2 linked regions of the Nothobranchius furzeri genome follow. The protein of the gene in region 2 purifies or fractionates together with the protein of the main gene of each other region. This does not show direct contact. Links are inferred from orthologs where the notes say so. Each region holds a gene or a part of one and is shown on either strand. Other genes may lie near its edges. The genes, in order: tmem186 and heatr3.

Region 1 (3,371 bases), on a different chromosome or scaffold from region 2:
CACCGTGAGCCAAAAAAGTAGATGCATTAAAATATCACATTATAAACATTTTGACGTGTGTCGTACACACTTTGGTTTAGTTCATTTGAAAATAAGCACGTTTAGATTTCAATCTCCTTAAATGGTTAGATAGTGCAAATGTAACCTGGGAGAGCTGTATCACACTGTGTGTGTGTGTGTGAGTGTGTGTAAATTGTGTGGGTGCAGCACTGGGCCGATTGGGGGAAGCTCAAGTCATCGTCACTACCTTCATACATGTTGGTTTGGTGAAGACAATTCAACTTCCCCCTGGATTTGAACTGGTCTCCCTGCCCTGTTTTGTAGGCACAACCTGCACAGACCGAGCTTTTATTTGGACTTTTAGCTTTTGCAATCTTTAATAAATTATCTATTTTTGAAGCGATCCGATTCTGTGCTTCATTGCCCACATTAATGCTGGTTGGTCAGACTCACTTCATGTAACATCTTGGGGGCTGATCTGCGGGTGTTACACAAATGTGTATTAAAGTGGAGGTATTACATTTTTAATCAATGACTAACTAAATCTCGCCATTAGAAGAAACAGCCGCTCTAGGTCGTGTGAAGGTTAACGGTTTAACGTCTTCCCTCCCCAGTGTCCCTTCTCACCTCCCGTATGGCTGCTATTGTGTTCTCCGGTGCGTCGTGTCCTCCGCCCCGGTGAGCGATCACAGACACCTTACCGCTGCCCACTGCACGGGAGTCTGGATGCAACACCTGCCGGGCTCGGCTGGTCGTCACCTGCGGGAACCGAAACATGGCTAGAAAGAAGTAGAGGGAAGCGGTGAGGACAGCCGACCACACCGGACTCCGCGTCCCCAGCAGGACCACCACGAGGACAAGTGAGTAGAGGGTGACTTCATCTCCCAGCTGAAGCATTGTAGACGACTTCTTGGGTTCACGAGCGCAGATTTTCTTCAGTTTGACATTTTCTTTCCTGTTAAGCTATTTTTCTTGGTTAAAAACGCGATGTTTCACACACATCCATGCTCCGTGTTATATTCTGACAGCAGCTATTAAGTGGAGCATTAAACCACATCTAAGCCGGAGAAAGCTAGAAACTGCTAGGACGGTTGAGCCGCTGAACGACCAAACGGGAGGACAACATTTCAGGTGGCACGTCGTAACGGCTGTGACCGGATGTTACGTAAAACAGGCGCGACCTTTGTCAAAGTAAACCAATAAAACTAACTCGTTATTTCACGAATCACACATTCAATGACATTTATTCTTCTACACTAAAACAACTGTAAATCCCACTTTGCTGGAGAACATATCTCGGAGGCTTGAAATATATTTCATTAAGTGGGGAAAACATTTTTCGACGGACCGAAACACATCTCGGCGCATCCCCGGATGTGGTTCTAAATAGGTTCGCTACATGCCGTTTGCAGCTCTTATTCAGTGTGAACAATTTCATACATTTTTTAAATTAAAATGTATACTTTACTAATGTTTCTAATGTGAGGAGAGTAAACGAGATCTTTAGGAACACACGGTTGTAACATCCGGGTCACAAAGCTGGACGTCTTCATGCCAAAAGTGGACTTGGGACTATTTTTGACTTTACCTGTGAATTAACCAGTCGTTGGCCATGGTGAGCATCATAGTGAGACTATTAATATTACTGTTATTACAGTGTTATCAAATTCAAAGGAATTGGTGGATCAAATAGATCAAACAATCCTACCCGCGAAATGCCCTTGAGCTTGATTTGATTCAGCTAGGAGATTAATTTGACCTCATTCTGAATAAGGGTTAACAGTTTTAATGTAAAACAGATCGAGACTTTATTCTGCTGTTAATATTTGGCTCAATTAGGTGACTGCATATTGCCTGACTGAATGTCGTATTTAATGTTTTTTTTCCCCCACAGATCAGGTCGATGTTGCTGAGCAGATTAACCCACCACACCCTGTCCTGCACAAGAGGATCATGTTTACTCTCTGGACGAGTGTCTAATGGTTTACAGTCTCATTTTTCAGGTCATACACCCATCCATCAGACCTCCCATGGACCCCTCACTCCTAAAATCACAACCTCCGTCAGATACTCAGACCTATCCACGCAGAAATTCTCTATGATTTACACGCTGCCACACATTAAGCTTCTCAGAGTCGTGTCCAGGCTCAAACTGCTCCAAACTGCAATCACTGCGGTCATCATTCCACCCATGTATTTCCTTTACTTCCAGGGTGACGTGTCCTTCTTTCTAGTATGCTACTCTACGGGGATTGCACTGTTTGCTGGTGTCATGCTGTATACTATGAGTCACTTCTTTAGAAGGGTTGTGGGGATGATGTACCTGGATCCATCCCAGACCACACTCAAAGTTTCTCACCTCACTTTTTGGGGCAAGCGTCAAGACACCTACCTACCCGTGTCAGACGTTTTGACCATCTGGGACACAGGAGACATGGAGAATGAGACCATACTGAAACTGAAGAGATACAGTAGTCCAGAGACAATGTATTTTTCTACTTATTACGGACGCGTTGTTGACAAGCAGGGCTTTGAGAGAGTGTTTGGGAGGCTAAAATAATTCTTCATTCAAAATGTGATCAACTAAATCACTGCTTTCAAGTATTGTAATAAGATCCAACAAATATACAAAAATATCCTGTTTTGAAATAAATGATTCAATTTCAATGTTTTCATTTCTTGATTTAAATAAATGTGACTAATGAGTGTCTGACTCTAGCCTCTTTACCTGGCCAGGTGAGTCGGACAGGTAAATGTTTTGATGTGTTTAATATCTGATGGCTCTGCAGAGTGGATCTATTCCCTTTACTGTTGATCTTATTGGTCCATTAGAGGTCTGAATGTGGTCATAAAACCCCCCTGGAGTTTTAGAGGAATCCTGCAGTTGAGTTTTCTTCCAACCTGATCATCCTGCATGGAAATGTGACTATTGATAAATTTTATTTGGAAAATCTATAATTTTTTGGGTTTCTTAATAGAATTCTATATGTTACAGATAAAAAAACTAATATTGTGAAGCAGACTGATTATGGTCTCGTACACAAGTTATAAAAAATTTAAGTTGACAAATTACAAATATCAGAGACACTGCAGTGAGGCATTTTCAATTAAAACATTTTCAGCTATTTGTAACATACATCTTTAGACAAAAACATCTAATCAGTTCTTCCAATAAACATTCAAATAATTACAAGATAAAATCCATGCATTTGAGTTTCCTGTATAGGAAATTTTCTCCAAACTCATCAGAAACACTTTTCCATTGCAACTCAGTCAAAAAAATAAAGCAAAATTATGCTGCAGATTTAAAATGCACTGGTAATAAGCTTTTATCAAACACGAGGGTCAATTATTTCCTGTTTCTCATATCA
Region 2 (3,826 bases):
ATCGCCCAGTTACCCATCACATTTAGTGAAGTGGACCCAAGCTTTAGCGTGCGTTCTTTCTACCATGCTGCTCTGCTTACAACTCGCTCGCAGCGACCGACGACATAACGCTCTTGCGCATGCGCAGATGTCTAGGCAAGTTCTCGTTATGAAGGACGGGTACCGAAACGAGGCGCCGTTTCAAATGACGTGAATCAGTGCTCAGTCAGAACTATGGAATTCGGTCGGTACCTTAAAAAGTACCGAATTCGGTATCCATCGCTAATGTTAAATGGCCTGTATTTGATATAGCGCCTTCTAGATTCCTGGAACCCCCAAGGAATTCACCCATTCACACACACATTCACACACTGGTGGTGATGAGCTACGAGGTAGCCACAGCTGCCCTGGGGCGCACTGACAGAGGCGAGGCTGCCGAGCACAGGCGCCACCGGTCCCTCTGACCACCACCAGCAGGCGATGTGGGTTAAGTCTCTTGCCCAAGGACACAACGACAGCGACAGACTGAGCGGGGCTCGAACCTGCAACCTTCCGATTACAGGGCGAGCACCTAACTCCAGTGCCACCGTCGCCCCACTAAAAAGAAAGGGAACAAACGACGGCCCTGTTTACCAGATATTAAAGCCAAAGCTGACGCACACCACCTGTGCATTCTTGCACTGCAGCAGAGGTCCACAAATGGCCCGCAGGCCACAGTTTGGTGTCCCTCGCTCTACGATATTTCTGTATAAAGGTTATGCACCAAGACAGGTCCAAATATAAGTACTTACAGACATCTACTACTATATTTGATGATGCCACCCCACCAGAATTTCATTTGATCAATCGTGTTAGCTTTAATTCTAGCGGGAATCTAAACGAACTGCCCGGATTTTCTAGGTTGCTTTGGGATCTGTTTGATCTTTACTTAAAGGAAGTGAAGACTTGGCGGCCTTCAGACCTTACCACAGATTCCAGAGGAGGTTCACCGCTTCGTGGGCCACATTCTCCACAGGATTGTTCTGGTCGGTCATCGTCACAACGGCGTTGTCGAAACCAGCACAACACTGAGAAAAACAAGCATCTCCAGTTGTCCGTTATAAGAAAAGAGGGCAGATTTCACTACAAAAACACTTAAATCTTTTATGCCGCCAGGTCTTAACAAAAGGTCAGCGGCGAGTTAGAATTTCACACCGAGTCTATTTCTCCCCCAGCGTGCACGCAGCACTTTTTCATCGAGTCACCGCGGGTGAAGCCTTGGAGCGGCGTCTAATTGCGGGAGATATTTCGGCCTGCTGATGAGGAGGAACTGAAGTGGTGGAGTGAGCTAAAAGCAGCGGCGGAGTCTCACCTCTCTAAGCAGTGCTGTCAGAGGAGTCATCACGTCGTGCTTCACCATGTCCTCGCACACCTCCTGACCTCCACACGCACTCAGATTCCTGCCAGTGAGAAACAGACCCAGACGCACACTCATCATCATCAGTCGCATGGAGGAGACTCGCCATGTTTGTGAGGAGCTGAAACCAACACTAGGAGCAACGTTTCCGTGGTATAAACGGAGGTTTAGAAGGAGTGCTGGGAGAGAAGAGGGTTGGGAGATGATCAGTGATGTAAAAGAGCTCGATATGGTGCAAGAGTCGCTTTAATCATCTAAATTTAATTCTAATTTAATCATCTGTGCCCCAGACAAGCTGGTTCCCAAAGTCAGAGACTCTCTTGGTCAGCTTGCTTCTCACACCAAACCCCCTGTCAGGAATCTACGTGTGACCTTTGACCCAGCTCTCACCCTGGATTCTCATGTCAGTTCTCTTGTTCGCTCTTCCTTCTTCCATCTCAGGAACGTTGCTAAGCTGAGTCCCATTCTGTCTCGCTCTGAACTTGAGACAGTTCTCCACACCTTCATCTCCTCACGCTTAGACTACTGTAACTCTCTTTTCACGTGTCTGAGCAGAACCTCCCTGAACCGTCTACAGGTGGTTCAGAACGCCTGTGCTCGGCTTCTGACCAAGTCCTCCAAACACACCCACATCACCCCGCTTCTCCTCCAGCTTCACTGGCTGCCAGTCAACTTCAGGGTTCATTTCAAGATCCTGGTTCTGGTCTATAGGGCCTTACATGGACAAGCACCATCTTACATTGGTGATCTTCTTAGTCCCTACACCCCCAGCAGGTCCCTGAGGTCCAGTGATCAAAGCTTACTGGTTGTGCAGCACCAGGCTAAAGGTCAAAGGTGACAAATCATTTGCTGCTGTGGCCCCCAGACTCTGGACCTCTCTCCCCCTGAGCCTGAGATCAGTGGACTCAGTGGTCTCCTTTAAAAAGCAGCTGAAGACTCACTTGTTCAAGCTGGCTTTTGTATGACCTTCTTCACCTCTCTCTCTTTATTCTGCTCTCCCACCTATTCCACCTTCCTCAGGATCCACTGATTTCCCTCTTTCCTATTCACTCTCTCTCTTTCTTAACATTTTTTTAATCACAATTGCCTATTTTTGCTCATTTTAATATATTTTTTAACATTTTCTAAATGTTTTTTTATACTTTTACATTTTTTGTTTTTGTGAAGCGCCTCGTGATTTTTATCTTGAGAGGCGCTATAGAAATGATACTTTCTTCTTCTTCTTCTAAATCCAAACACTTATCACGATATAGCCTGACTTTCAGAAGAATGGCGCCCTCTTCTGGGCTACTTCCAAAAATTCTGTACAAATCTCAGTACTGTGCACAAGCCTGCATAAAGTCTTTATAATTTCATGTTAAATACAAAAACTAAACAAGTAAAGACAATAAAGACAATGCAGCTTTATTTATAGCACATATTTAATCCACAGAGGCAACTCAATGTGCTTTCCAGTTAGCAAGAACTTTAAAATCAAAGTGACAGCACAATTAAAATATTACACACCAATCAATTTAGATTTTTAAATTAAAAAGAAAAAAGACAAAGTTTAAGCGTGAGCAGTTACAGTGCAGAAGGTGCAGCATAAGAACATTGGTAACACCTTAGTTTAGGGAACACAAATTAACCATTAATTAGCTGCCAATTAATATGCATATTAGTGGACTACTAAGTCTGAACTAGTCATTATTAAGCACTTATTAAGAGCTTATGCTGTAATTTTAACATTAACAGGCCATAAATTAAGAGTTTTATCATAATAAGCCATTCATAATGATTTGTAGCTGATTAACGCACATGCTAATTAGCTCAAATCAATATGCGGCTTTTTACGAAGTAATTCAGGGGGAACATATTCTTGCCTTTGGGTGGTTAATTAATACTAAACTACTAGTAATTAGGTATGAACAACATCTGACTTTAGAAGGGGGAACATGTTCTAGCTTACAGGTGGTTAATTGTTTGTTGTTTAGGCTCTATTAACATGTGGAGTTTGGTGTTTATTTACATACCAGAACATAATATTTTTGGTTATTAATGCAGAATAATAATTTGCCTTGAATTACTTCTTAAACAGCCACGTATTGATTTGAGCTAATTAGCATGTGAGTTATCAGCAACAAACTAGGGATACAACAATACCACTTTTTTTCCAAACCGATACAATACCGATACTTGGATCTGAGAACTCGCCGATACCGATTACCAATACCGATACTTCTGCCACACAAACAATGCAATGATTTGGAATACAGATTTTATTTTCTTCTCTGCTTTCAACAGGAAAAGACTGTGAGGTAGATAAAAAAGTAAAATATCAGTTAACTTTTACCGATACCGACACTGGTATTGGTATCGGCACCGATACCAGTATCGTATCAGTGCATCCCTACAACAAACTGTTTACTTTCAGTTAACAAACCATTATGAATGGCTTATTTTTGATCAAAC

The links.
Region 1: the proteins of heatr3 (region 2) and tmem186 purify together in Homo sapiens (co-immunoprecipitation; 3 studies listed by BioGRID and IntAct, counting the BioPlex papers as one, with this or other methods). This does not show direct contact. The link is inferred for Nothobranchius furzeri from reciprocal best matches to the Homo sapiens genes HEATR3 and TMEM186.

Annotation. Positions count from the first base shown.
Region 1 is NC_091744.1:5,453,057-5,456,427, reverse strand, and holds tmem186 (transmembrane protein 186), read left to right. Parts: upstream 1-1,349; 5' UTR 1,350-1,612; coding exon 1,613-1,615; intron 1,616-1,894; coding exon 1,895-2,560; 3' UTR 2,561-2,706; downstream 2,707-3,371. Other genes in the region: gde1 (glycerophosphodiester phosphodiesterase 1), read right to left, coding at 628-897. UniProt on the Homo sapiens protein: As part of the MCIA complex, required for efficient assembly of the mitochondrial complex I.
Region 2 is NC_091749.1:70,417,989-70,421,814, reverse strand, and holds part of heatr3 (HEAT repeat-containing protein 3), read right to left. Parts: intron 1,419-3,826; coding exon 1,331-1,418; intron 1,047-1,330; coding exon 946-1,046; intron 1-945. UniProt on the Homo sapiens protein: Plays a role in ribosome biogenesis and in nuclear import of the 60S ribosomal protein L5/large ribosomal subunit protein uL18 (RPL5). Required for proper erythrocyte maturation.